Linked DNA regions of Oryza sativa Japonica Group. The protein of the gene in region 3 interacts with the protein of the main gene of each other region in a pairwise test. Links are inferred from orthologs where the notes say so. Each region holds a gene or a part of one and is shown on either strand. Other genes may lie near its edges.

The links.
Region 1: the proteins of WD-40 repeat-containing protein MSI4 (region 3) and histone-lysine N-methyltransferase CLF-like interact in binary tests that used the Arabidopsis thaliana proteins (3 or more experiments, as listed by UniProt). The link is inferred for Oryza sativa Japonica Group from reciprocal best matches to the Arabidopsis thaliana genes FVE and CLF.
Region 2: the proteins of WD-40 repeat-containing protein MSI4 (region 3) and histone deacetylase 5 interact in a two-hybrid assay, tested with the Arabidopsis thaliana proteins (2 studies listed by BioGRID, with this or other methods). The link is inferred for Oryza sativa Japonica Group from reciprocal best matches to the Arabidopsis thaliana genes FVE and HDA05.
Region 4: the proteins of WD-40 repeat-containing protein MSI4 (region 3) and E3 ubiquitin-protein ligase HOS1 interact in a two-hybrid assay, tested with the Arabidopsis thaliana proteins (2 studies listed by BioGRID, with this or other methods). The link is inferred for Oryza sativa Japonica Group from reciprocal best matches to the Arabidopsis thaliana genes FVE and HOS1.

What each region holds. Positions count from the first base shown.
Region 1 is NC_089040.1:9,531,266-9,538,077, reverse strand, and holds the end of histone-lysine N-methyltransferase CLF-like, read right to left. Parts: intron 6,652-6,812; coding exon 6,490-6,651; intron 5,768-6,489; coding exon 5,683-5,767; intron 5,567-5,682; coding exon 5,417-5,566; intron 5,331-5,416; coding exon 5,283-5,330; intron 5,214-5,282; coding exon 5,145-5,213; intron 5,022-5,144; coding exon 4,318-5,021; intron 3,493-4,317; coding exon 3,357-3,492; intron 3,283-3,356; coding exon 3,062-3,282; intron 2,564-3,061; coding exon 2,432-2,563; intron 1,603-2,431; coding exon 1,512-1,602; intron 1,041-1,511; coding exon 993-1,040; intron 915-992; coding exon 786-914; intron 562-785; coding exon 292-561; 3' UTR 65-291; downstream 1-64. UniProt on the Arabidopsis thaliana protein: Polycomb group (PcG) protein. Catalytic subunit of some PcG multiprotein complex, which methylates 'Lys-27' of histone H3, leading to transcriptional repression of the affected target genes, mainly abscisic acid (ABA) responsive elements.
Region 2 is NC_089041.1:24,814,240-24,822,207, reverse strand, and holds the start of histone deacetylase 5, read right to left. Parts: upstream 5,310-7,968; 5' UTR 5,241-5,309; coding exon 5,080-5,240; intron 4,534-5,079; coding exon 4,332-4,533; intron 4,234-4,331; coding exon 4,087-4,233; intron 3,931-4,086; coding exon 3,818-3,930; intron 3,183-3,817; coding exon 2,971-3,182; intron 2,569-2,970; coding exon 2,504-2,568; intron 2,182-2,503; coding exon 2,011-2,181; intron 1,925-2,010; coding exon 1,835-1,924; intron 1,220-1,834; coding exon 875-1,219; intron 783-874; coding exon 589-782; intron 471-588; coding exon 314-470; intron 1-313. UniProt on the Arabidopsis thaliana protein: Responsible for the deacetylation of lysine residues on the N-terminal part of the core histones (H2A, H2B, H3 and H4).
Region 3 is NC_089035.1:30,086,374-30,094,277, reverse strand, and holds the start of WD-40 repeat-containing protein MSI4, read right to left. Parts: upstream 4,947-7,904; 5' UTR 4,909-4,946; coding exon 4,598-4,908; intron 3,865-4,597; coding exon 3,801-3,864; intron 3,622-3,800; coding exon 3,535-3,621; intron 3,159-3,534; coding exon 3,096-3,158; intron 2,850-3,095; coding exon 2,784-2,849; intron 2,681-2,783; coding exon 2,579-2,680; intron 2,385-2,578; coding exon 2,309-2,384; intron 1,764-2,308; coding exon 1,562-1,763; intron 1,300-1,561; coding exon 1,218-1,299; intron 1,115-1,217; coding exon 1,041-1,114; intron 893-1,040; coding exon 781-892; intron 676-780; coding exon 601-675; intron 449-600; coding exon 387-448; intron 1-386. UniProt on the Arabidopsis thaliana protein: Core histone-binding subunit that may target chromatin assembly factors, chromatin remodeling factors and histone deacetylases to their histone substrates in a manner that is regulated by nucleosomal DNA.
Region 4 is NC_089037.1:31,096,150-31,102,902, reverse strand, and holds the end of E3 ubiquitin-protein ligase HOS1, read left to right. Parts: coding exon 1-267; intron 268-364; coding exon 365-523; intron 524-1,432; coding exon 1,433-1,945; intron 1,946-2,566; coding exon 2,567-2,698; intron 2,699-3,003; coding exon 3,004-3,743; intron 3,744-4,492; coding exon 4,493-4,658; 3' UTR 4,659-4,929; downstream 4,930-6,753. UniProt on the Arabidopsis thaliana protein: E3 ubiquitin-protein ligase that mediates ubiquitination and subsequent proteasomal degradation of the transcription factor ICE1. Acts as a negative regulator of cold signaling pathways.

The DNA.
Region 1 (6,812 bases), on a different chromosome or scaffold from region 3:
TGTCATGCATGCATTTTAGATGGTGATTGTATTTTCGAAAAGTAACACATAAGAACACAACAACTGATCCAGAATCAGAAAAATCTTTTGAAGTTGAACTGGCGACAGGTGCAGCAGTTACAGAATTCAGGGAAAATCAACGAATCGAATCGAGGGGGCCAACGAATGGCAGGAAAGTTTTCCTTACGGCGCTAATCACCGTCAGAGTTCTCGGTCCCCCTCACCAATAACGAAAGAATCAACCAAGACAACAAAAGAATCAACGGCTGATCTTCTTCTTCTTCTTCTTCTTCAGTGGGCGAGCTTCTTTGCTCTCCCGGTGGAAGGCTGGGCGTCGTCCTTGGCACCGGGCCCCTCGGGCTTGCGAGCCCACGCCGGGGCCCGGTCGGGCTCGTAGCGGTAGTCGTAGAACAGCTCCTCGCCCGCGCTGATCCGCTCTTTGGCGAAGATCCCCACCCTGTGATCGCCTGCTACCATGATGACCTTGGCGTAGCAGTTTGGATCAGGGGAATGGTTGGCGAACTTCAGCTTGTCGCCCATTCTGTAGGCATCAAGAACGTACTGCATTCATCGAGAGGGTAAAGTGAGTGAGTGAGCATCCGGTACTGGCGAAAACAGCGAAAACACTGCAGCGGATCATAAATCGCGCGATATTGAACAACAGTGGGTTGGGGATGTAAACAACTCGGTTCACGCAAAAGGATGACATTAGGCTAGTCAAATCAGTACAGTATGCAATCCTGAATGCTTGCAGACCGTAATTTGCGGGGTGTCTTTGCACTCACCTCATTGTTCAAGTTGAAAAGGAACGATGAATTCTCACGGTCATATATCTTTCCACGCTTGTCAGCTTCTTTATGGGAGATAAGCTCCCCAGTGTACTCGCCAAGATACTCGTGCTTCCCAACACTATTCTGAAGATTTAGGAAAAGGACTAGTTAGATGAGGGTACGTCCTATGAGGGAGGAAAAGGGTCAATAGAGAAATCTTACCTTGAGGAAAGCTCCCCAGCCAGAAACATCAGATCTCCCAAGTAAGACCTGAAGAGTGCACATAGCAAGTCAATACTATTTACAGATATTTAGAGATGGAATAGGACCTGTAATAGAAAATGAAGTAACACCCCCTGGTGTTTCATAAATTCACCAACATAATCGATAGATACTTTATGCAATTATTTTCCTGCTAATGGGAAGTTTTTTGGTTCATAGTTCATTGCCTGTTTTGGAATATAGTTACTCTAACTAGTTTCTTTGGTATTAAACTTAAGATCTTTTGTATTTAGACAACTGGAATTTGAACTCACGTGAAAAATATTAAAAAAAAAGAATAAAACTATTGAGAAGTACTGCTGGGTAATTAACTTAGACCTCAAGCCTCCTCACACAAAAATATCAAAGCATCGAATAAAGGCAAATGGAAGGGCCAAGCAGGCATAAAAAATCGATAGGCTTGACGAAATTATAACCAAGGTGCAATAGCATGAATAAATCAAAGTGCAAAAGGTTTACCCTTTGTTGCTGTTTAAGCAGCAGTTTCATGTTCCGGCATTCATAATTATCACCTCTTTGGTTAGGGACTCCCAATGTACCATCACCGCACCTGCACAATAGAAAGTACAGGTAGAAAAATAGAAGTTCAATGTACTGGCGCTTTGTTCTAGAAAAATTAGGGATGAAGAAACAGTAATTGAAATTGAATAACAGACTATTTCAACAATGAATAACAGAAAGCATATTTAAGGTTCCATGGAGTGAAAAAGGATCATGATTGGATTTACACACTGGCCGGATAATATACTCATCTTTGGTGTTTGCCTAACAACTTACAGTATCTAAAATTTCATTTCCTACCATTAGAAGCTCGTTCATAACAAATTCAAATTAAACTCCCCCATCATTGATACATTTTTCATGGATTAACTCCTGGTAAACACTCCTATAAAACTCAGATATTGTTATAAATAATTTAGATATAGAATATCAATTGTCAATGTGCTGGCACACACTATCAAGTATGCTAGCAAATGGTATGAGAAGGAAATGTCAAATTATTATTATTGCACCATTTTTTTAATTGTGGAATGTAGCTATTGCCTATTGGGACTGTTGGGCAAGCAATTGATATGATTATATTAATTAAATTCAATTCTACCATTAAGATATTTTACTGCAGAACTCCGTATCTTCAGATACTGGAATATACATATGCAAGATTCTTCCTGCACTTAAGGATAAATCCATCATCCATCAAAATTCCATCCTTCAAGTGCAGGCATAGGTGGTAATTTCTCAACTTTCAAGGTAGATGTAAGGTTGGAGAAGTGCAAAGAATGAAAAGCACATTATAGTTGGTGCCTTTCTCTAAGATATACAAATGTGCATTAACTAGCAAAATCATTCAAAGGGTCATCAGAATTTAAAATACATACCCTACCCAGCAGTTTCTACACACATCAGGATCACATTCCCTGTCAGCAGCAAAGCATGGACACTGCCGGCTGCGACACTGACTCTTTGCGCAATGGCAACCTCGGAAGCGATTCTTGCACATTTTCGGGCACCTGCAACGCAGAAAGGATTACTTCAACTTGCATCAGCAGGATGCGGACAGCAAACATTTGCACTCCATGTGTTTGCATCATTTATTCCAATTAAAATTATAAATTATCAAAATAAGTAATAGCTAATAGCCAAAAGAGCACACAGAACAAAAGAGAAGCATGTGTTTGATTCACCATTTGGGTGAGAAATGCGGAGTTTACACCCTCACTCTCCCACCATCAAGGTTCAAGTCCTCTTCAACTAGAAATTTGGTGCCTGTTTTCCTCTTAATTGAAAGGGTGCCTAGTTCCTCCTAGGTTTTATTTTCCTTTCCTTTTCAGTAAGCAGCAATGATTGCAAAACTAAGATGTGATCATACGACATAATTGGTCGGCACTAACCAAACAATATTGAAATTGTATACATCTACACAGTTTTGTTTTCATAAGCAACATTATTAATATCTAGAAGAAAAAATGTTCTCGGAGTCTGCAATATGAATAATTGAAGTAGCTCACCCACAGTATTTCTCACAGCAGGTACCATTTGTGAGACATGGACATTGCTTCCCACATGCAGACTGGCAACCACAAGGAGTGTATTGTCGACAAGGCTGATCCTTCCTTTCTGTAATCCTTTTCCTTATAAAATGGTAGCCTGCAGTTTTCCAGGTGTACTTCAAACGGCGGACCCTTCCTCGCCTTCTCACAAATCTTGATCTTGTCCGTAATTCATTACCCTGGGAGTTCAAGCATTAAAGTAAGATGAAACCTTGGGAAAATACAAGTAAATGAGCTTTATGATGAATCCTACCTTCATATATCCTTTAACAAGAGAATCAACACCACTAAGAGCTCCAGATGCACTGCTGTTTTCAATGTAATTCATATACTGAAAAACATCTGTGCATGTTTTCATCCCACCCAGAAGGTTCCGAGCAATTAAACAACTTCAACATAGGAAAAACAAGGGCTCAGTATGACTATTCAAATTAGGGAAAACAAGGTATTCTACTCATTATAGAAAGGATAAAGAACATTTCCAATATGCTTGCAAGACATCCAAAGAAAACAGGAATGAGTTTTTAAGGCATTTGAAATGAACATACATCAGAATTTCTTGTACATGAAACGCTATAACTAACACAACTAGATACTAAATGATGCAAACATTAGAAATTCCAGTTAATTCCGCATTCCAATACGTTATGCATGACAAATTGTAGATTGTATCTTCATGTTACAGCTTTTACTTGAAATGTAGTAGTATAAGAATATAGTTTCGGGGATGTCTAATTATGATGCAAGAGCATTTGCTTTAAATATAGACATTTGTGTTGAATACTTTTAGTAATACAGATATATTAAAAGAAAGCATAGTCAGTTTCTTGTGCTGAACTGAAAGGTTAATCCCTCCACCCCAAAATATAAGGTGTGCACGCATTTTAAAATTCAAATTTTACAAATCTTGACTCACAACTAGTCTGACAATATATAGGTTTAGTGATATAAAAATGGTATTGTCAGATTCATATTTGAATGTACTTTCATATGATGTTGGTTCCACTATAGAGTATAGACAGTATACTTGTGAGAAATTGACAATTAAAAGTCAAAGCACGCCTTATATTTTGGGACGGAGGGATTAGACACATTAACGTTTACTCTGTCCTGAACAGATACAGCAGTTAGTTGTGCAATAGTATACAAATATTAAGATGAAGTAGAAGGTAGTGAAATAATTCATATGAAGCTGATCATTTCAAGGGACCAACCTGTTCTTTCCAAAAATCTCTAATCCTTTCAATAGAAGCCCTTGCTCAATCACTTTCCAGGACCTGCCATGAGCTTCTTGCCTGCATATACTCTCATCAACACATTCCTCTTTCCTTGAACTATCACAACCATCTGTTGCTGAATGTTCATTATTTGTATCCTCCATTGAATCACTCTGAGCATCCACAAAAGATGAGTTATTCTCCATTTGAAGTGTGCCCTTCTTTCTAAAACTCCTTGTGCTTGGAGAATTACACTGTGAGGATACAACAGAATCCTTAATTCCACTCCTAGTATCAGATCTAAGCTTCATATCCCTAGGCCAATGGCATCCATTAACAATAGAATTAGAGTCCGGTGACATTTCCTGTTGCCCCTTTTTCACACTCATTAGAATTCTCTCAGCAATTCTTCTGTTAGTACTTTTCTTGATTCCACCTTTTGCGCCAAGCTTATTTTTTGAGAGGCCAGGAGAGTGTTGCGGGGATTTATTGCTTAACAGTTGTACTTCAGACTCACTGCTTTCTGAGGAAACCCTTGCAGTTGAAGAACTTTCACTTTGTTGAGATTTTGTTTTCTGCCCACTAGAACCAAGCTTTTTCTTATTTGACCCTATCTGATCCTTTAGATTGTCCGATGTTGGCTCCTCAACATCAACAAGCAAATGAGAATCAATCTCCATGATAGCATCTGGTTTAGAGACCTGACAAAAAGATTATAAATGAGGTAAAGATCAGCAAAACGGCATATGCTTATGTTTCGGATATCTAAATCATCATAAAAGAAGAGCTGCTTTTCCACAGTCATATGCCTATAAAATACAGACCAGTTTGTAACAGTGAATACCACATGGTGTACCCTCATCCGAGCTGCACAATGGTGCCTGCTTTTCAGTCTATACGAAAAGGACACTAATTAGAACAACACACAAGTTTAGGAAATAACTCATTGGTTTGAAAATTACCGGAAATACTAAATCTTGAGAACACCCATGTAGCTTGCAATCAAAAACCTTCCAACATCAAAATGAGCAGAATGTTTCATCAGTAAACCAGAGATATTATGTAAAACACACATGACAATTAACAGAAAACGTACCAAACATCGGCGACAAAAGAGATTGTCAAAGGAATCCAATGCTGCATCCAGATCTTTATCACCGTACACGTCTTCCATTTTGACATTAAGTTCAGACACTTTCTTGGAAGAACCCTCAGGTTTCTCCCCTTGTAGGATCTCATACCTGGCCTGGAAAATAGACACGTAATTTAATTTTTCAGAAATGAAACAATAAGTTGGAAGAGGAAAATCCCAAATGGATCAAATGCAAATGTGACGTGAGATTGAATAAATGTTGTATGAACCTTTATATCATCAGGAGCCCTTTCGATATCTCGAGCTAGAGTTTCAAGCACAGCATCAGACATGCCACATTCTTGAATGGTCATCCTGGCAATCATTGCACAAAATCACCCTTAAGTGGAAGAATTCCATACAGGAGAAACCAAATTATTGTGATCTATGATGTTTAAGGTCTAAATTAATCCACAAACAACTCAGATTAATGCTGTAACCATACTTTTCTTGCTTGTGCAAGGGTTGCACAAAACAAAACCAGGTCAAATATGCAGTGTGACCAGCTCAAGGTTTTCCCCTGGAACAATGTAGATAAAACTGGTAATGACCATTTCATTTAATGATATAAGACATATGCCCCAAAACCAAACCCTTTTTCTTACAAGTTTTTAATAATGTAGTTTTACTAAATAATCTCTTGGGAATATTTCATACCAAATGTTACTTGACCAGTATATTTAATATCATTTCTCTATTGCTTCTGTACTATGTTATATTGTGACTTCAAAAAGAGAATATTACTATTTTTTATTCTTTAATGAAATTACACTACTAGGCAAAGTCCTGGTAGTTTTCCCAGTCAAAAGAAAAACAGAGAATATGACAAAATGCTTACAGAAGAAAGCATTTCTCCATGAAACTATTACTACAGAGTCATCAGATCTGTTATTCTATGGACTGAGCCCAAGCTCCAGGTGCTATGGTAACTGCACCTGTATCTTGGTCCCATGAGCCTGTAACGGTCAAACAAGTTGAGCATCCTTAGTGAATGTTCAAGGCAAAAGAAAACAAATGCATGTCCAAAGCATATTTACCGAATTATGCAATCTTCAGAATCCTTGAACTCCTTTTTCTCTTCCTCGTCCTCAACAGCTTCATCTTCACTATCACTGCAAATTAAAGCTTCGCCACAGTTTGTATCATAGTAAATCCTTCGACGACCAAGTACAGATTGGTCTTCTTGCATCCGCTGGTTCCTGCACGAAAGATTGTAAAATCTTATATTTCAACAAACCTTAAGATGCCCTACCTCTCCAAACTAAAAGTATGCTGGATTGTAACTGTGACCATGCATGTTTTGCATTACTTATTTAGAAAAATAGAAGTTTGTCATATGAGATATACTGTTAAATTCATA
Region 2 (7,968 bases), on a different chromosome or scaffold from region 3:
TGGTCTAGACTAGCTCCCGGGAAATACAAACAATTCAAAGCCCAGAAAAATCTGACAGCACTAAGAGGTAATTGGCATTTCCTTGCTATAACCAACTCACCATTAACAGTTGGCACACCACTAACTTCTATAAAAATGTCATCTGGGCACAAGTGGCAGATGCGGTCATGGTGAACTGAGCGCATTTGGTAGGCCTTTTATCAGCATGCTGCTTATGTCTAAGCACCCAACAATGATGTTTGTAATGGCGGCTATGCATTCAAAGTTAAATAGTTGCAAGAACAAGAGCATGCTTGTTGCAGTTAAATCAAACCTTAATAGGTGCAAGGTGGACACCCTTGTTTCTGGAAACAAACTCTATTTCAGACAAGCCAATCAAAGGAGAGTCAGGAGACTCAGTTTTTCCACTTTCGCCGTTCTCCTTCACTAAACGATTCTCTTGAAACAATACATCATTGAACTGCTCGAGCCTGTACAAAAAAGATAGGCAAATTATGATGAGATCCAGAAGATTAACTGAAGATCATACCCCCACAGTGCCTAACTCAAAGATTGATAACAGGTAGGCAGATGCTACAACATACATACGTTATTTTATACATGCAGACATAGGAGTTCTCAGTGTGGTTTATCTCAGGGTTGAGAAAAGCAACACCACCAGTTCCCCAGCAAGGAGTAGAGGATCTACCAAAAAACAATCTATGAGGCACAGTCTTCCACATGGAACCTCTTGGTGGGCTTGTGTCATGAGATCCAAAACATGGTATATTCATACCCTCAGCCTGTCCAACATTAAAATAAATAGCAAATCCATCATGCAGAGCATGCTGCTTATCAAAAATAGGAAAACTAGGAGAATACGTTTTCACTTTACCTTTCCCCCTTGGATGTAGCACAGAAACCTTGGTGTCCACATGTTTGAACCAAAGCTGGCATACCAAACATATACTTTTGACAGTTCTGATCTCCAAGTAGAAGATAGAGATGATATTCCTTCAGTTGACACCGCAGCAGATCCATCATTTTGTGGTTCAACTGAATCAGTTGGACCTTCAACCATTACATTACTTGAGGTGGTCTTTGTTGCGATTTTGTCTTCATCAAGGTTCAACTTTGAGAGGCTTTCACTTATAATACCATAAGTAATTTGAATAATATTGACAGAAGCAATAGCATCAGGGAGATCTTCAACTTCAGAGTCAGAACCAGAAGAATACAGCTGATCATACCAAAAGTGGGGGGAAACAAAAAGGTGAATTAGTCAAGGGCAACACAATGTTGATATTTCCCTACAATTTTGTCTTAGCTATACATTAAGCCACCATGCAGCAGGCCAAATATGTTAATGAATCAAAACCAAGATCATTAACTCAATACAAATTAAGATGCATGATGTTGATAAAGTCGACCAGTGTAACTGTGCTTTGTAAGAGTTGAGAGGCATGAAGCATCTCCAGGATATGGGTCTATGCATGATGTATTTTTTAAGCATTTTTAAACAGTTCATCAAAGTACAGGCTGTAAGCAAGTAGCCTATCAATTGAAATGCATAACAGAGTTGATACAGCCCAGCATGTATTTTTCTTTGGAGTTAAGCTACAGTACAATTGTTTTTGTAGCAGAAGTCATCATGAATACACAGTGCAACCTGCAACTATTGTTATTACATGTCTATATAAATTAAGTGCTAAGAAAAGGGTGCCAAACTCCTGGCAAACACAAGTAAATCCAGGGTTAAGCGATGGTGCATCTTATGTCAGAGCAAATTAATCTGGGATTAGACCAAGAATATCCCAAGTTAAAAGTCTTTAAGATAAGAAAAATAAGTATCTACCTCAATTTGTGAGGGCCTACTCCTCAATGATATATTCTCTGGCAATCTATTACTCAGAACAGGCCAGAACGTCTTCAATTCATCACGTACCTGGTCAGTGGTGTGGGGGAAGGAAACATAATTACAGATATCCACAGTAAGGAATCAGACAGCAATTAATGTAAGCAGACCATTACCGCTTGTATAACTCTCCATGAAGATTCAAACGGTTGCATATCAGGAGTGTCAAATCTGAACTTGTCTCCCAACAAAACTTTAGCACAAGCACTAACTGAATTTGCTATGGATCTAAGGTTATAGCCTCCTTCAAGAGCCATCACTATCCTCCCTTGGGCAAAACCTAAGAGCTGCAGGTTTTACATACAGAATTAAATATTACTATTTTTTAAAAAATAATAATAATAATAATTTTAGCACAGCCCAGTAGACATAAAGAGATATGAAGTAACTGGAAGAGATCAAATGAAAATATCCTAACAGCTAACAGCAGAGAATACCAATAAGAAATTACTAAGGAAAAAGTTACATAAAAAGTTTCTGGTTGCTGTGTTGGAAAACTTCGATATTATTAACCTAACCCAGCTGATCTGAATGTTATTCCTTTAGAGACAGGAAAATGCATGGCGTGGTGAAAGCCTAACTGAATGTTATTTTTCTGCAAGTGCTTACCTTTGTCAGTAGCAGAGCATATCCATTGGGAGTGATGCAGCAGCCACCAAGAGGATCACCCAGTGCTACCCAAAATATCAGTGTAGAGAAAAAATCAGAACTAGCGAACAACGGCACATATATGATCTAGTACTGTATTAGATATACCAGAAGTTTAGGCTCTGTTATCATGTAGTAACAGTCTTATAAAACAAACTCTTAGAGATTTTTTTTTCAATATTTCTGCAGCAAAGATCTCATTTATCATTCCACAACGAAATCAGATATAATAGGTTGCAAGCTGCACTATGCTACTAGCACAAGCAGCGGTCAACTAGCTCATAGAGATAAAATTGAGAAGCTATAAATTAACACTATATAAACAGTTTCATTCAAGACAAAAGGCTGCATTTTTATTTTATAAGTTTCTTTTTAAAGTTAGTATGTTGCTGGCACAAAAGAGTTCTACGAACTTTTAAACTATATACCTGCATCAAACCCAGCAGACACCAAGACTATATCAGGGTTAAATGCTTCAGCAACAGGAAGTAGTACATGGTCCCATGCAGCAATATAATCTGCATCACCACATTTTCCATGTTCCCAGGGCACGTTAATGTTGTACCCTTTACCATCTCCTTCCCCAATGAAACAGTAAGATGCATCCCCTTCAGCAGGATAGAAGCTGCCATAATCAAATCTACAAAAGAAACATAGGACACAAGCATCATACACTAAAATGAATAGGTTCTCATCAGACATACAATTGATTATGCTTCTGAACCAGTACATCTCTAGCTTTGCCATAGGACCAAAGCAAAACAATTAATGTTTACAACTGCTCTAAAAGATTCCTTGGGGAAAACTCGACTTAAGCATTTACATTTCTGTAATGCTGCCTAAATTATTCAATGTGCACCATGTCATCCAGCAACAGATATTATTTGGGTGATGCCATTTTCTTTTCATTCGAAGAGCAATAATGTACGATAATCAGTGTGGATTGGTGGAATGCGGGATTCAATCCTATTCATTAAAGGAAAAATAATACATTTACTATCTGTCCATTATAAACGGGTTTGTTAGGACCATGGAAATAACAGAGAGTGCCCTTAAATTTCTATATTAATTAGAAGCATTCAATGCTTCCATAGGGGAAAAGATATGTTTGGCAAAGTAGTACAACCATTCAAAGTGCGGTAAACCTCCAGAATGAAGGCAACAAAACTGCCATGACTTTACTTAGTACTATCATAGTATCATGTCATGAAAGTAATGATGCTACTAAAAAGACCCAAAAAAAACTATAAAGTCCATGTCAAGAGGCTGTCATACCTGTGAACTGAAAAGAACAATACACGAGGATCACTATAAAACATCTTTTGTGTGCCATTTCCATGATGAACATCCCAATCGACAATCAATATCTTCTTGATACCTAAGTCAGTCTGCAACAAAAAAGGCAAATAGGAACATGAGTTCACCTTCTCATTCAACTGCATCTGATAAAAACATTCCTGTTCCTATATAGGAAATGACGAAGGGAAAAAAAAAAGGAGAGCAGATTTTGGTACTAAAAAAATAGGCAAGTTTCAACAACATACCCTCTCATTTAAGAGATAATCAGCAGCAATTGCTACATTGTTGAAGAGGCAAAAACCCATTGCCTCATTATGTTCAGCATGGTGACCTGGAGGTCGGACTAGAGCAATAGCAGAACTTAACTCTCCTGCAGCAACCTTCTCAGCTACCTATTTGCCAAATGAGTTGATTATTTTTTGCAGAGCAATCAGCACAAGGAAAGAGCAATCAACTACACAATAAATGTTCATGTCAAATGTTGAATCACCTCAATCACAGAACCAGCTGCAAGAAAAGCAGACTCTGAGGAGCCCTTGTTGAAGTAAATGGAATTAAATTTTCTAGCAATCTTGTTTCGACGGGAATCATATTCTTTTGAGCTGATACTCCTCATCAGCTTGATATGGTTCTGGCTATGGACAGAAGCTATATACTTGTCCTCAGCTTCCTTCGCTTTCATGATCATGCACCTGGGAGAAAACTATGCTACATTACATCCAAGGAAGCTTTGCCAGCAGCAAAATTATAAGCCAGTCAAAGCAATGAGCAAAGTTAAGTGACCTAAGTTGTTATGCTAATGTTTAAGCTTAACCAAGAAGTATCATCAAAGTTGCTGTGCAGCGTAAATCACACAAGTTTGCTACGATTGCTTCAGTACTGTAGTTCAAGCCACAGCCTGTACCAATACATCTCCCCCCCTGATTTTCTCGGGTACTTCTAGCATTTGGGATGTTTTTACCTAAGTACACAATTAGAGTCACCATTCACCAACACATACCGTCTCGAGACAAAATTTGCGCGAACCCTAGGTTCCGTGCTAGAACTGAACGGAAATGGCTACAGGCATGCCGCGGCTCCCCTACCACAACAATTCGGCCGAACCATGAGAGCATCGAAGCCGCCGCGCGCGTCGCCGATCCCAGCAAAATCACGCTACTCCGATCCGACTCTCCCAAGTCCTTAAGGACAAAAAAGAAAAACGCCGCGAGCGGCGGGGGGTGGGGGTATACGTATACCTGGAGGCGACGCCGTCGGCGGAGAGCTTGCGCCAGATGGCCCGCAGCCTCTCGGGGTTCTCCGGGTGCTCCTCCCCGTCGGGCGTCGCGTGCGCGCACATCCTCTCGTCGTACAGCAGCCCCACCCTCGCCGCCGCCGCGGCGGTCGTCGCCGCCGCCATCCTGCGCCGGCGAGGCGAGACGACTCGGAAGTCGGAAGTGGAGGCGAGACGACGATTCGGAAATGGAGCGGGGGAAGAAAGAAAAAGGGAGACGTGTCACCTCTCCTCTGATTAGTGGTCATCCTGGCCTTGGGTGAGTGCGAGAGTGTGTCAGTAGGTGGGTCCCATCTGGAAGTGGAACGCGTGTCAGTAAGCGGGGCCCACCTGGAAGTGGTAAGCTGGCCAATGCCAGTAGGTGGGCCAACCTAGAGGTTCTGAAGTATGAACTCCTTACGTGGTTCTAAAATTTAGATCTAGGAGTTGTATCTGAAATAGAGTTATGGAGCTGTCAAAACTCAGCTCCACCTCTCTAGTTTATTTTGTAAGAGACCTCCACCTAGCTCTACTTCTATTTTAAGTGGATCTAGCTTCAGGAGAGATGTAATTGGAGCTGGAGCTGTGGTAAACAGGCTCATAGTACTCCGTTAAATAAGTACTACTCATTTTTAAACTGTTGAACAATATATATTCATTGCGAAATTTTTTAATATAAGTTGCTTTGAAATATCAGATAAATCATTTTTTTTCAAATTTATAATAATAAAAACTCAATTTACCATGCACTAATACTTTTTTTCCGTATCCTTAACTTTATCTTCGTCTTCATTACAAATAAACACCAAGCAGCGATCATTGTAATAGCGAGTATAAATGCCCACCCCCTCTCTCTCTATCTGACAGTTTATTAGAGCTCATGCTACAATTGACTATAAATTTATACTATTATAGGACTCCCTTTATCCCAAAATATAAGCAAGTCAAATATTTTTAACTTTAACTATTAATAGCAAAAGAACAAAAAAATCAATTATATAAAATTGATGCTATTAAACAAACTATCATACTAATATACAACTATTTTTATTTAAAACATTTTACTTTTATAGATATTGTTGGTTAAAATAGCATCTCGAAGACTGTGACGAGATCCAAAAATGCTTATATTTTGGACGGAGGGAGTATGTTTTTTTCTCTCTTTTTCATTTAAGCATAATTTTGATGTGACAAATGTTATATTCTACTCGCATCACCTTATTATACTTGTACTAATACGCGAATATGTGTGCTCTAGAAGAAGGCTCCATAGGTCGTCATCGTCTCACCAAAGTAGAGAAAAAAAATATCCGTGTGCTTGCTGCTATTTAGGGCCAGTGGTTTTGCTTGCTGCATCGAAGGAGAAGCAATTTTGCAAGGTGAGGCATGCGAGAGAAGGAATAGCAAAGTTAACGAAAATTGTTGGTGGAGAGAAAAGTAGACGTGGATAAGATATTCGCTGTCTCTATTCGTGGATGAACATGCATGGGTGAGGACATGAGTAATGTACCATGTCCTCAGCCTATAGGCCCAACCTCCACCTAAGCAAACGTATAAGAAGAAACTTATGGAGCTACGATCCATCAGATTAATGCAATGCAGCTTATTAAGATGGCCCCAAAGTTGACATTATATATTAACTCCATCTTTCTTTAACTTCACTGCATAAAATTTTACAATATTACACATTTTAAGATAAATCCCTCTCAACAAAGAAAATAATTTATAAATAAGTCATTGGATCCACAGATCAGCTTATTTTCCTGATCTTTAAATCCCTTCATCGTACGCCTTCGTCTCCTACTCAATCGCTGCATTGCGCTCCACCCCAAAATCACACTGCTCCTCCGCCGACGCCCTCTCCTCGTTGCTGACTATCACCCTTACTCATCGCGGTCTATGCCTCTCTGGTCATTACCAGTGCTCGCTGATTTCCTGATGATGTCAATGAGATTGCTCGGGCATGTGCAACTCGCGGGACGACGAGGTCAACCAAGTCATTTGTGACAGCAACGGCTCTCCCAAGTGCTCGCCGGATTCAACCAAGACCGTCCTCCTCGGTGGCAGCGGTGGCACCTCCAAGTGCTCATTGGGCGGTTTCCCCTGGTCAGTTGCCCTCATCCTCACACACTCCTTCCACCGCTGTATACACTATCTCTTCACATTTCTTCCTCATTTCTTCGAAGCTACACATAGCTTTCAACTGCTAAACGGTACTTTTTTTTGCAAAAAGTTTATATACAAAAGTTGCTTTAAAAAATCATATTGATCTATTTTTGAAAAAAAATAGCTAATTCTCCATTAATCACGCGCTAATGAATTGCTCCGTTTTTCGTGCGCTGAAAATGTGTTCCCAACGCTGAGAAACAAACCTAGCCCAAGAAGACTTCGCTCAAACCTCTAGCATGGCGTTTGAGGCCTCGTTGTTTACTTTATGGCTTATAAGCCAAAGCCAAAAATTAAATTTTAAAACTTAATGTTGAATCTGATTTTGATGTTTTTTGAAAATTTTAACTTTTAAATCGCTAAGAACATAGTATATACAAAAGTTTTTACTTATATATCCATTTTAATCGCTTATGGCTTATAATAAGACATAAGCATGATCAGGCTGTGTTTAGAGGTGGGTGTTGGGAACTATCTCCTATCCACAGAAAATGGAGCGGTTCATTAACACGTGATTAATTAAGTACTAGCTAAATTTTTTTTCAAAAATATATCACCATGATTTTTTTTAAACAACTTTTGTATAGAAACTTTTTTAAAAAAATACAATGTTTAGTAGTTTGAAAAGCGTACGCGCGGAAAACGAGAGGGGAGTGTTTGAAAAGCGTGCACCGTTTAGCAGCTGAAGCTCGAAACCATGACGGTCAGG
Region 3 (7,904 bases):
TATAATGGCCTTACCAACTAAGATACAGAGTACACCATAATCAAGATTTATCCCTCTAAGTCTTAGGCTTCTTAAGTTCAAATTTGCAATTGCACAAGTGTCTCTCAGCATAAGTCAAACACCAGTTCAAAGAGGATTCAAGTCCCATCTTCAATTTTGCAAAACTAATTAATGAAAATATCTTAGGAAAAATATCTCATTGCAGAAACAGAAAAGCAATGCACAGTGATGCAACCTAAAGTTGTCGTAAAAACGAATGTCTCGTAAATGTGACAGGAATAAAAAGCCAACTGATGTGGTATTAAGCATTTGAAGGAATATGGTATTGAGTTACGCATATTACAACACATAAGGAAAATTTTACATTTCATCATACGATAGCATACCTATGACCAGCATGTTGAAAGAAAAGCCCAGCAGGTGCGTTGGGATTTTTCTTATTTCCAACCTGCATCAAAAGAATTTTATGAATCTAAAGCTATTAAAAAGTACATGAAATGAAGGGGACAAATGGAGCATGAACTCCCATCCCAATTCCAAACTTTCTGCAGGGCCATGACAGAGATGACTGAAATGGTAACGAATTGTATAGAAAGATACCTTCTCATGATCCCACACATTTAAGAAGCCGTCTTCCGCAGAGCTTCCAAATACAGATGCCTTGTCAGGTGACCACTGAAACACACAAGGTTTGAATTATAGCATAAAGGCACAAAAAAAATAAACGACAGTAACCAAATGTGCATAAAAAATATAGTAACAATAAATATCTGTACATGCCTGAACACAAAGAACAGCAGCTTTATGACCCTCAAATTTGTGAACTGGAATGCCAGCTCCTCCAGAACCCAGATTTCTCCGGTCCCACATACGGACAGAATTATCCGCAGAACTGAATACGAAAAGAAACCATCTTACTCAAATGTGTAAATAGCTAAACCCACTATCAAGAAGTGTATCCACGGCTTCTTGTACCAAATGAACACTAAAGAACATGTTACATATTATTTAGAATTTAGAAACATTTCATGCCATCATACCCAGTTAAGATATAGTTAACATCATGGAGGTTCCAGTCAACACAATGAACATCACCACCATGAGCTTTCTCAACCTGGAAATGAAGAATAAACCAGTTTCAACATGGTGCATAGAATTGAGCTGCTCATTTTCACGTAAAGCATCATTAATCTGCTTAAAATGGAGAAGAGCACCACCTTAACAGCTGGGCCTGTACCACTCCGGGCATCCCAAAGAATAAGACAAGAATCATCGCCTACACTACAAAACTCCTGTGCACTTCAAAAAATAAAAAAAAATAAACTGTGAAGATAAATTGATAGAAGTATAGATCATACAATATCAAAATATAGCATGCATTCCAAGTTCCCAGCAGATGTTCACAATAATGATAGCTGCTATTGTTTTATCATCATAAAGAACGACTATTAGCCAAGACAAAAACTTTAGGCCATGCAAACCACTGAAGCTCATAGTCCAAACAACATATACACATGCTAGAGAGACAACATTTAATAACATGAAGGGGAAGGTGCAATACCTAGAAGGGCAGAACTGGACATCTTCAACAGTACTGTCGTGGCCAAGAAAGATACCACGAGGATCAACTTTAGGACTATCCTTATCATTTGCAGTTTTTCCCTTGCTTCCTGATGCCCCTGGAGAAGATTCAGTTTTCGAGGAATCTCCCAGTGCAGATATGTGGTCTTGGATGCTCCACCATACAACAGATTTGTCTTTTCCTATTACAATTCGTATTGAAGTCCAAGTTATCACAGCAGCACATTGAGTCGAGAGAAAAAACGTGTCCCCTGAACTTGGCAACAAAACTTCCAAGTCTATAAACTTTAGCAAGTGATTCAAGTTAGGCCCAAACCCAAGCTAGCTAGCAGCTGGTTTACATAGTAATCAATATGCCTAATTTAGTGATTGGCCTCTATTCTTTTTGTTATTCTGCACGTTAAAATGGTGCTGTCACCTCCATCTGCAAGCTAGTTTAGGCATGGACCTATCTTGACTCACATGTACAAGATCCAACAGAACAAAACAAAGCCAGTTCTCAACTTCAAGGACCCTTGCACACATCAAAATCGAACACTGAAGAGGTGAAGACCATGAAAAGTCAACAATATCAACCGGAAAATAATTTAGGGGTAATTGTTAAGGATAACACACATGCGCACACAAAAAAGTCTTGACACCAGAACAATATGTGAATAAATACAAAAGGTGTGAGGGGTATAAACTAGAAAGATTTAAACATACAAGAAGACAAAATATTGCTAACCTCCAGATAACACATATGGCTCAGCTGGGCACATAGCAAGCGCAAACTCAGCAATATCCTTATGTCCTCTTAATATCTGTCAAAACAGTTTAAGCTACTAAGCCACAAGTGTGAAAAGGGAACTCGAACTATGAAAGATGAAAACCTTTCAATATATTCTATGATTCCATAACACAGTTTCTTAGGACTTGTGTGCAGATACACCAGATGAAGCTGCAATTTCAGCTTCTCAAAATGATATAGGTTGAGAATGAAAATAAGAAAAGATACCAAATCAGGGCGAGAGTCAGGTGGTACCAAATCAGGACGAGACTCCATCTGTGCCAGTTGAGCTTGTCTATTTGGCTGGGCCTCGACATCCCAAATGAGAACCTGCAAATGAACAAAAAAGCCTTCAGTCTACAAATCCATCACAGAAATGCTTAGGGATTGATGATCACAAGAAACGGGCAGCACTACAAAGTTCTAGGCATACATCTGGGCTGTCGGTATGAGTGGCAATGATCTTACTGTTCTGCGGAAGCTCCCTAATCCTGTTCACCTGTGTCCATGGTAAAACAGAAACAATACATCAACGATTGGGTTAAATAAATGTTGACGGGGACACGGGGTTAAACAAATAAAAGACACATCTCAAGCACTATCTCCAAAAGAAAAGCAAGCCATCTAAACCACTAAAGTTTATAGCCAATATATGCACCACACAACATGGAAGATCTCATACAGAGGCAATGATCCTCAAGTTAAGGAAAGAGAAATCAACAATCACGATTGAATGAGCTTGTACCTCGCCTGGATGAATTATAGTCTTGTACTTCTTTACAAAAGGTGATCGTGCTTCCTCATTGAACTGCAACAAAAAATAAGAGACATCCGGTCAGTTTCATTGTAAACAGACTTCAAGTTAGTGCAAGGAATTCCTAATTCAGGTCTTTTTAAGGCCAATGTAAGGCAGTCTCATACACCGCTATCACAAGACTGAAGTCATGCAAATCTAGATGTTCGAGTTATGACATTTTTATTAATTTAATAAGACAGATTAGGCATAGTAAACTATCAGTTGGTACTACAGGTCCACATCTCTGATTAATGATTACATTAAGATGGGAAGCTGACACCTCGGGTCAATTAAATCTGCAAAAAGGACCAGCTATGTCCATTCATCTCAAACGTAGCATGATTCTGCATTTTACAAACTCAAATGGGTCACTGAAAAAAGTGGAAACCTGAGATATATGTTCAGCAGCTGCAACCCTTGGTTTGACAACTTCACAATTTGCAATAACCAGAGTATTAGGGACAGTCCCATCCGTCTGCAACAATCACATGGTTAGCAAATGCTAAAGTTTAATATCCAACTAAGAATACATAAATTTTCTAGCTAAGAAGACCCATCTGCATATCTGAATTCAAACTTCACCATAAATTTGAGCTTCAAAACATCCCTACAGCAAAAGAAAGAAAAAGAACAACTTATTTTGGGAGCACTTGCCTGCTCTGAAAGGTAAAGACGCTGACGATTCTTGTAGGTAGCCTTCTCAAACTGGGGTCCCCACCTGTTAACAATTAATGATGAGAAGATCAAATCGTTAGTTGCAGAACCACTATTGAAGGTCAAAAGCACGACAGAATCCAACATGCACAGCTTTAAACCGAATTACAAGATGATATGTCACAACTCAACACAGAACAGGCACGGATAAAGCATGACAATCTAACTCTAAAACATAACAGGTAATCATATTATCGACTATATACTATATAGACAAAAATGGACGAGCAGCAACCCAGTAGCCATAAAATCTCGAAGGTAGACTCGCATCAGCAAGCATTACATGAACACGGAAGAATCGACCCTATTATATCGACTATATAGACAGAAATGGACGAACAGCAACCCACTAGCCATAAAATCTCGAAGGGAGACTCGCATCAGCAAGCATTACATGAACACGGAAGAATCGACCCACACCCCCCCCCCCCCAAAAAACACACACACCACCACCACCAAACTCAAACAAACAGTCGCATCCCACAAAACCTCCCCGTCCCAAAAACCCTAACATCCCAACCGGGGCCGGGACATCCTCACCCCACTGCCATCCCCGCCAAATCACCATGCAAGCGACAGATCTGGAGTCACCGAAGCAGAGCCACGCCCTAAAACCCTAGATACAGTCCCCCAAAAACCCTAGCCCGAAATGGATCTCCACGGAGGACGATGGCTACGAGACGCGCGGGAAACCGCCGGAAGGGAGGAAGGAAGGGAGGAGATGCGGGGAATTTTACCGGCAGGAGAGGGACGGCCAGACGAGGTTGTGGTTGGCGAACCAGTCGTAGAGCACCGGGATGAGCGACTTCCACTGCGCGTAGCGCTCGTCCACCGCCGCCCTCGACCCCTTCTCCTTCATCTCCAGCGCGCCCTTCGCCGCTCGCTGGCGCCCGCCGCCGCCGCCGTCGCCCGCTCCCGCCTCCGAACCCCCTCGCGCTGTCACGCTCTCTCTGTCGTATGAGGAGCGTTTGCTCTGGACCCTTGCGCGTGGCTCCCGCTCAGAGATGCCACCCCTCTTGTGCCCGAATGCAAGGGCAGAGCAGAGCATCCAAGGCTTGAAGCGGTCGAAACAAATGCGGCGCTGTGGGCTGGGCCCATTTGTATTGGGCCAACGGATGAATAGTGTGGGATAGGCCCATTTCTATCTGGGCGTAAAATGTCGGTTAGATAGAACTGGGTTTTTTTAAGAAAATAAAGGTGGTGTTTGAATCTCCTGAAGATGAAGATGAAGATTAAAATTAAGTGTTTCACACAAAATGGAGTGGTAATAATGTGTGATTAATTAAGTTTTAATTATTACAAACTTAAAAAACGGATTGATTTGATATTTTAGAACAACCTTTTCACACGAAACGTATCGTTTAACAGTTTGAAAAGCGTGCCACGAGTATCCAAAATTTAATCCAAAAGTTGTTGGAGAAAAGAACAGGGCATACACTCACAGCTATCATATAAACACGTCCGAAAAACTAAACCAGTATATCTTGAGATAGAACTGATATTGATAGTACTCCCTCCGTCCTAAAATATAAGCACAGGTTCTTAGCTAAAAATGCTTATATTTTGGGACGGAGGTAGTAGATGGTAGCATAAGCTATCTGTACTAAGGTTGTGTTTGTTTATTTATGATGACGCTCTCTCTCATGGCCTGATCTTCTGGTGAGAGGATAACTCTCACTTTGATCAGTGTGACGTTTGTGACGTAGCTATCAACCAGAGCAAGTCGAGGACGCCGTGCAAATCGGTACACCACAAACGATGTCATACTAACCGTGACATATGGTTGATGATCCCTGCAATGCAAACGAGTGAACATTGCAAGAATAAGATAAGATTCAATCTAAATATTGCGGAAAAGTGATTAAGCACAGAGAAATAGTTGTGATTGAAGTGGTAGATCTAATCGAACCAACAAATCAACACACCAACTATTGGGGCTCTGAATTAATAATCGCTGACTAATCGAGTGAGGAACCGGCAAATCAACACGCCAACTATTGGGGGCTCTGAATCAATAGTCGCCAACTAATGAGGACTAGAGACAACATGAAGAGAGAATCTCTTATATACCACTGAAAATTGGTCGGATCTCTTGTATGCCACTGAAAAATGGCTCTTCCCCTATATGCCACTGGTCCAAATTTATGCACCCTCTCATGCCACTCTCGCCTGTTGACCGTTAACTCTCAAGTAAAAAAGATATATTTGCCCTTCTAAGTTTAGGACATGCCTAACAACTCAGAAGGGCAAACATGTCTTTTTTACTTGAGAGTTAACTACCAACACGCAGTCAACAGACGGGAGTGGCATGAGAGGGTGCGTAAATTTGGAACAATGGCATATAAGGGAAGAGCCAATTTTCAATGGCATACAAGGGACCAGACCAATTTCCGGTGGCAAATAAGGGATTCTCTCCAAGGTGAATGACACCTGGCAAAATTCAACTAAACAAAACCCTATTGTTACAGAGGGTGTACATAGACATTTAAAGACGAAAATAAATCTAGGGTTAATTGCTAATTTGTGGAGGTGGAGGGAGACACTTCCGATATGGGCTTAGTCTATTACAAGGCCCAAGGCCCAAGTTCGGTTTCAACAACAATACTGTCTTATTTTGATGATTCCTGTTGACTCGGGATAAATTTGAATATGAGACCGGATGCGTTTGAAAGGTGACGAGATAAGCTTTCCATCAAGTCCATGACCACTCAAATCAGAGTTGGCATGAATGCACTAGGTCCGTTTGAAGTCACTGCTGTCTTCGGAGGTGAACTTGATTCCAAAACTCATTGGACTTTAATATCCTGTAGATCATCCATTCATCCGATGTATTCTTTAGCGATGTTTTATATTTATCATGCTTGATTGTATGCATATACTTGATGGTCACATCAGTTTGTGTTCCCATCTCCTCTCATTCGTTTTCCGCGTGTACGCTTTTGAAACTACTAAATGATGTATTTTGTAAAAAAAAAATCTATAGAAATGTTGTTTTAAAAAATATATTAATCTATTTTTCAAGTTATTTTAATTAATATTTAATTAATTATATGTTAATGAGCTGCTCTGTTTTTCATGTTGGAGGGGAAGGTTGTCAACCAACACTAACGAACCCATCCTAAGGGTTTATTTGGATTATGGGGTAAGAAGAGTGGGACTGGAATAGAAAAATGAGTGAAGGTTATGATCAAAAGGAAGAAACATAATGAATAATGAATGATTAAGATTTATAGATGTCCTTTGACGAGCGAGAAATTATTTAACTAACCTATTAACTAAATATAAGGCCTAAGGTTTATGGTTTCTAAGTCAAATATAAATGGCTGTCAAAAAAATAAAATCAACGTGAACGCGTGGCGACTGAAATCTTGAAATGAGACAGTGTGCCAAACCTGAAAATCGTACTTGGTGGGCATATGTCAATTCTCGATTTTGAATAATCACTCGAAGTCGAAGGAGCAGCATCGTGCTCTAGACGTCGATGTTAGGCATCATGGCACCAATAGTCCGTCCCAAGACCACCGATTTTTTGCATGTTCAGATTATTTTGTCCATAAGAAAATATAGTTTTCGGAATATGTTCACATCCCCCATTTCTCCATGTTTGTTCCTAGAACTTCCTAGCTACTCCTGGCTTGGGAAAAAATTATGGTATCCAACGCACACACCAGATCAAATGGTTTGAAGCTCAAAATAACGTTCCGGGATTCTAAACACCGGCCACGGTGTTGTTCCTCACTTCCTTGCGCGGGGACCGCGCGCCTGACCGCGGTCCGTCTGATGCGCCAGGCAGGATGGCAGCGCGCGACGCACATGCATATGCACGCGCCCCGGCCGATCATCGTCACGCGCCCAGGATCGCATCGGAGCACCGCATGAACTTCCGTTGTTCCGCTGTTCGCGCGCAGGATTCGAGCCGCGATGGGCCACGTACGGGCACCTGCGGGGCTGTGGCTGCGGGCGAACGATCGAGCCGAGAACGCGACAGGCCGATCCGGTCGGCTGACCGATGGATAACCAACGGTTGGGTGGGTCTCTCGTCGA
Region 4 (6,753 bases), on a different chromosome or scaffold from region 3:
GATAAATCATCTGCGTACAATGAAGCCAACCAGGGGATACTTTTCATTGAGCAGGCACTACAGAACCTTGGGATTCAAGAAAGCAATAGTGGTAGCGAGGAAGGAGTGGAAATTGTCTGTTTGCAGAGTGAACAGTCATCATCTATGTTCTGTTCCACAATTGATCAGTTCAGTGTTGATAAATACCCATTTAAGGACTTGCGAGAGGCAGTTGATGTACTCTTCCTGCATGGATCATCTGATATGGTGATTGCAAAGCAAGCGATTGTATCCTTTGGCCCTGCTATCTAATAATGAACAAAAATATTTTCATGGTTCCTCACAAACATGTTATTTCCTCCGTATGTCCTTGACATTTTTATAGTTCTTGTATTATCTATTTGATCGACACTGGACTAGACCAGATTCAGAATGGAGGTATCTTGTGGATGATTTTGCTGCCACCTTTGGGATTTCTAGAAGAACATTGCTTGAATGTCTGGTATTTTGTCTTTTGGATGACCATTCTTCACATGCTTTGGAGGTAGCTGCTTCTACCTATATTTTACTACTGATGTATGCAAATATATGATTGATAATAGATGTTCTTTTCACCCAGCTTCCACATCATGCTTGTGAAAACTTGACATATTTGTGTGATCAACATATCATTTAAGCCTTTAAGCGTGTTGGCTTTCCATGGTCATATGATGTTGCGTTGATGCAAGTTTTGATTTTTTTTTGGCCCTTTCTAAGGAAAAAACATTCTTGGGATGGTTGTTCTGTGTAGACTATTAGATATGAAGTAAAATAATATAATTATTACATGTATCTGTGTGATGAGATAAATGTATTTAGTGGAATGAGCAACTGAAGAACTGCTTGCCAGTAGTGGAACTGACAGCTGATACTGATAGGTTTCTAGTTGTTGTTGTATATTATAGGGATATGTTGGAATCTACCATGGCATTTGTTCATTTGTTGTTTCTGTCCTGTTTCTGCATGCTTTGGGACTTCTATAAGGATTTTGCCTTTTGTATGGTCATGGTTTTATTCTTTGGAATCTAATCTACTCCTACCAAATAGCATGAACTTTGGTGCTAAGTATTATTGTAATGACTAATATAACCCAGATGGATGCATGTGAGGATTGTTAGTTAATTTTACTGTGCTTAAGGTGCGCTAAGAGCATTGTGATGTGTTGTTTCCCACCTGTTCTTTTGGGTCTCACATGTCACTTGACTCCACATTTGAAATGTCAGTTTCTGTTACATGCTGTATAAGTATCTTCTGTTCTTTAAAATTTAATGAGCTCTCCCTTTTGCTGTTCATGTTAGCACCCTGGCATCAGAGCTTGAGTCTTATTTGTGGTTCTAACTAAAGACTTGCTTGTTCACCTAAGATTTCTTGAAGTCTAATCATTTTTTATTTTCATGCACTCTACTCTGTGCAGGAGGCATGCTCTCTACTTCCCAAGATTTCTTGCAAGGAAACACATCCGAAGATAGCACAAGTTCTTCTGGAGCGTCATAAACCTGATGTGGCACTGGTTGTGCTAAAGTGCACAGGGCGTGATACCTTCTCTTCTGCTGCTAACATCGAGAAAGATGACACAGAATCTCTTAGTGAGGCAGTGACTGCAGTCCGTGTAAGAATTGAGTATGGCCATCTAACAGAAGCATTTATGTACCACAGGAGCTACTGCTCTAAGGTAAAAGAGCAAAGGTCTGCAGATATGTCACATGTTGAAGATGCTAACAGTTACAAAAGCTCTTGGATGTACCATGTTGAGGTCATGATGACCGAGTTTTGTAATATCTGCATCGAGAGGAACTTTGTTGATAGAATGATTGATCTGCCTTGGGATTCTGAGGAAGGGAAACATCTTCATAAGTCGCTCCTTGACTGTGCTCGTGAAATGCCCATGGAGCCATGTGGTAGTCTACTTGTTGTTTTCTACCTCCAGGTAAAAAACCCACCCACCCTACCACCACCACAGAGAGAGAGAGATAGAGTTCCATTACAGGAGTTACTCATGTGCGTGCAACCTGCATAAATTGGAGTACAAATAGAAAATTTTCATCTAAGTCATTGCTCATATATTTACCAACTATTTACCTTCATTTTGAGTGCTAGGTACATTGAAGGTATGATAAAAGTAGTTCGAATTCAAAGTGTTAAATCATAGCATCTGCTGCAGTGGCAGCTCTTTTTCTTGTATATGAAGTAGTTTATGTTTACTATTGGCATACTCAGGCTCAAGATAGAAAAAATGATGCTAATGAGTTCCTACATTCAGAAACACTCTGTGTAACTGAATGATAGATATAGCAGAAGATTGATCAAGGGTGTTTGAAGGGTCTATAATCAGTTAACATTGTTGCATATCACCCAACTTCTGTACATCAAATTTATGCACGGCGTTCTAATTTTTGTAGTGTAACAAGATTATATTACTACAAGGTGATACCATCAATCTAAATAACAGCCACAAACTGCTAAGATATGCACAATTTTCTACCTTATTATAGCAAGGAACCTTCAGAAGGTGAAACTGAGGATATTTTTTTTCTGCTTCTTCTGTTAGCGTTATCGGTATTTGGAAGCATATGAGGTCGATCGTAGTCTTCAAAGCTTTGAGCAGAATGCATTGGAAACTGCTAGTGAAGAAAAAGCATCCAAAATCAGAACAATTGCTCAGTGGAGACAAAGTTTGGTTGTAAGTGCTTAGCTTTTACACTTTGATTCTTTTGACGTGCCTATTTAAATTCTTATTATTCTGGTAGTCATGCCGCATGAGTTGCTGGGGGGCTCTTCATAATTCTAGTGATTCTACCATGCCATAAAATGTATATCCATACGTGATATACTGTAACTACTGTACTATACACTTTATTCTGGATCAATGGAAGAAGCCTAATAATTTTTCAAACATATAATCTGCTCTATTGCTTGTCTGCATATTGTTTCTGATATGCATATGCTAATATGCAACACTTCAATATTTTTTTCTTGTATATGCAGACTAAATGCATTGAGATGCTTCCTGAGGCTGAGAGGGAGGATATGAGAACCATTGGCAGTGCAGAGAGAAACCAATTTGCTGTACAAACTATGCAAAACTCTTCTCCAGCTAATCACATAGTCAAATCACCAAATCCTGTCATTGCATTTAGCTTATCGGCCACCCCTATTCCTCAGAAGAAGTCAAGCCCTCTCCAATCAAGAAATATCAATGTGTTGAATGATTCTGTTGGCCTTAACAGCAGTGCCCGTTCAGAGTTTGGCAGAAAGGTTCCATCTATCCTCCAATGCAGACCAGTTCCCCTGAGTTCACCTATATCCAATGTGAGATCAACTGCAGGGGGTCTATTCCCCTCCATGGGACAGAATGGTGAAGGTCCATATTTAAAGGGGACTAAAGAACTCAGTTTTACGAAAGGAGAGTCTGGTTTAAAAAAGGGAACTAGACCTGCTGGTTATGATTCACTCCCTATGTATTTCAACATGGGTTCTGTTGATACACCTATGAAGGAGTACCGATCAAGTTTGTTGAAGACTGAGGTTAACAAAACCACTCCTTTTCAAGTAAAAGATTCTGTCGGAAAGGGGGAGTTTGACTTCGGTTCACGTGCTGAGAAACCTTTCATCTTAAGTGGCACAGGTGCTGGTCAAAATGGTCACTCAAAGATATCCGATAATGCTGGTTTTCATGAGGTTCACATCCAGAAAACAAAAGTACCTCCTAAAGAGAATGTTCTCAGGTAATCATGATTCTGTACCTTGACAATCTATTTCGTACTTTAATTCTGATGTCTACCTGTTGGTAGCTGACGCTGTAGCTCATGAGATATAGTATGATGTAGAATCAAAGGTCTATAGATGAACGGCTTCTATTGACTGGTACTAATGAGTGGTCTATGGTATATACCCTTGTTGAAAAGTTATGGCCCATGGGTGGTTCCTACTGTGAACCATTTTTTTTCCAGTGCAGAAATGCTTCATAGATTTGGAAATAGGCACTAAGAACGCCAGGTTTTACTGTTCATTGTTTTCATTTGATTTTTTTTTAAAAATAGCTAGCTGGTTAGACTATCTGGAACCGACCGTAATGTCTGGTTCCCAACGGGATTATGGTCCCTGGTCTGTATTGGTTCTCTCCCATTTGTGATACCTGCTAGTCCACTGTTTTCCAAGACAATCACAAGGAAGCTGGATACATCGATATTTTGTAGGGAACCAAACACTTATAAGCTATACTTGTTTGAGAGTCAAGAACTTGGCCAGAGTACACCTAGATCATTCATAGATTCCCTAATAAAGGTTAGGTTTTAGTTCTTTTCCCCCAGTGATTTTGGAGTATTGGATATTTGCCCCAGCAGCCCCTTAACTGGCGGTTGCCTGAACCACAAATGTGATGCTATGGTAAATGGAATGTTATCACTACACAATAGTGTTTTTTAAATCAAATTGTTACACAATAATGTACCGTGATCTTTTATATCATGTGCAGCTTTGGTAAGAAATCTTCAGTTGATGAAGCACCACCTGGGAAAGGTGTGTCAAGGTGGAGATCCGATGAGTCTAGTGAAGACGAAGATGATAAAAGAACAAGTGGGTATATGGAGAGTGGAGCTTCACTTGCTACTCGAAGACGAGCCAGATTTTCTAGAAGATGATATATTCCATCTGGTCCAGGTGTTTTGATCGCGCGCAGGGGACATCTTGTCGAATTCTTTTCCAGACATAATACTTACACCCCAAATGTAACTGCGATTTGTTTGAGGAAAGGTGCAACTTACCCAATGTCTTGGGGGAAAAATTGTGGCAACTATATTGCAAAATTTTGGTGTGCCATGGCCGCAATGATGTATTGTAACTAAAGTAAATCGATATGTGTGTTGCATCAAAATAGTTTGGCATTTAAAGCTCACAAGTTCTTTATGTTTACTCTCTGTTCCTGTGATTTTAGCACATCAGAAAATCCCGGAGAAAACAATGAGTATTATTGGAGAAAACAATATACTACTACCTACGTTTCAGGTTATAAGACTTTCTAGCATTGCACATATTCATATAGATGTTAATGAATCTAGGCACATATATATGTCTAAATTCATTAACATATACTCCCTCCTTCCAAAAATCTGAGTCATATTTCTTTTTACAGCAAGATAAGAAGCAATTAATTCATTTACCAATGATAAAACCAATGAACATGTAACCAATAAGTATTAAAATGGTTTCTTGGGTTTCTATCAACAATTTAATTTAGCATATAATGGCTATAAATAGGACTTAGACTTTTGGAAAACCAAATAATAAAATAGGTCTCAGAATTTTGGAATGAGAGAGTATATGAATATGGGCAATATGAAAGTCTTATAATATGAAACGGATAAAGTATGTACTATGATGGCTGCCATCTACTATCCTTACTTTGCTGAGTATATGCTAGTTTTTTTTTTTACATTATATGCTACTCCCTCCATCCTATGATATGAATTTTGTTAGGATGTGACACTCCCTGTTTAGATTCGTAGTACTAGTATGTGTTACATCCCACCAGAATCACTTATATTATGAGACGGAGTGAGTAGTTTGCTGAAACGCAAGAACATACTCTCTTCATCTCTCCCTTCCAAAATACTGTAACCGGATCTTCATCCTTTCGTCCTACAATACAGTAACCGGATAGAGTAAAATAAAGTGATTATCTCCTCGGCAAAATCTAAAAATTAGGAGGGTCCAATCATCCAATTAAATCCAGTGGCTCATCCATTCTTCATTTATATTTAAAAGTGATGATACATTGAACCATAGAAATGGGAAATGGCCGTGCTGCAGAAGATGAGGTCGGATCAAATGCGGGACCGGGTTGTTGAAGAACGGACAAGGAAGATGTCGCCGTCCTTTTGATATGTGTTTATTGATAAGCCGGTCAGTTCATCCGTACAGTATTTGGTTTTCTTTTCTGTGTGCTGGGCGAACGGCTTTTGCCAGCAGCTTGTGCATCGTAACCATTTTCTGTGGGCTGCTTCACGCCTGCTAATTATTGCTGACAAAGGAATTTGTTCCTTTTTGTTCGGTAAGGCAACCCACCAAAAAGAATAAAAGATGATGAAATGGTAGGTAGATAAATTAATCCTTAACTCCGCTAAAGATTAAAAGATGATGTAATGGTAGGTAGATAATTAAGCCTTCACATTATAGATTCTCATTGATTCGCTTATGCGCTGAAATTAAATTTTACAACCTTTGAATTTGATTTCTTTTTTTTATCATAGTTTATTTTACAACATTTCCTTTTAAGTTGCTAAGAATACATATACTCACAAATAATTTTTTTGTACTCTGATCTGATTGATTGAGTTCTGTTGATAGGGTTTGATGCCTCTCAAGTTTCAATTTGCTGATGGATGTACCGCTGCGGTATTTCTCCTGCTGTGTGCGGACGAGTGGATGACTGGCAGCAGCGTGGGTTGCGCCACGTGAGCTGTGCAAATTGCTGTGTGGTTGTGCCACACATGAGTACTTTTCCTCCGTCACATTAAAACCCGACTTAGAATTAGGATAAGAAATAATATAGTATAATAAATATGGACATAATTATTATGTTTATATTCGTTGTACTAAATAATATCTCATCATAATTCTAGGTCAGGTTTTTTTGACGGAAAATTTTCAAACGTACCGATATCATTTTTAATTTTTTTTAAGAAATTACATTATTTTTACTGTAAAATTTAGTTTTTTTAAAAAAATATGTCAATA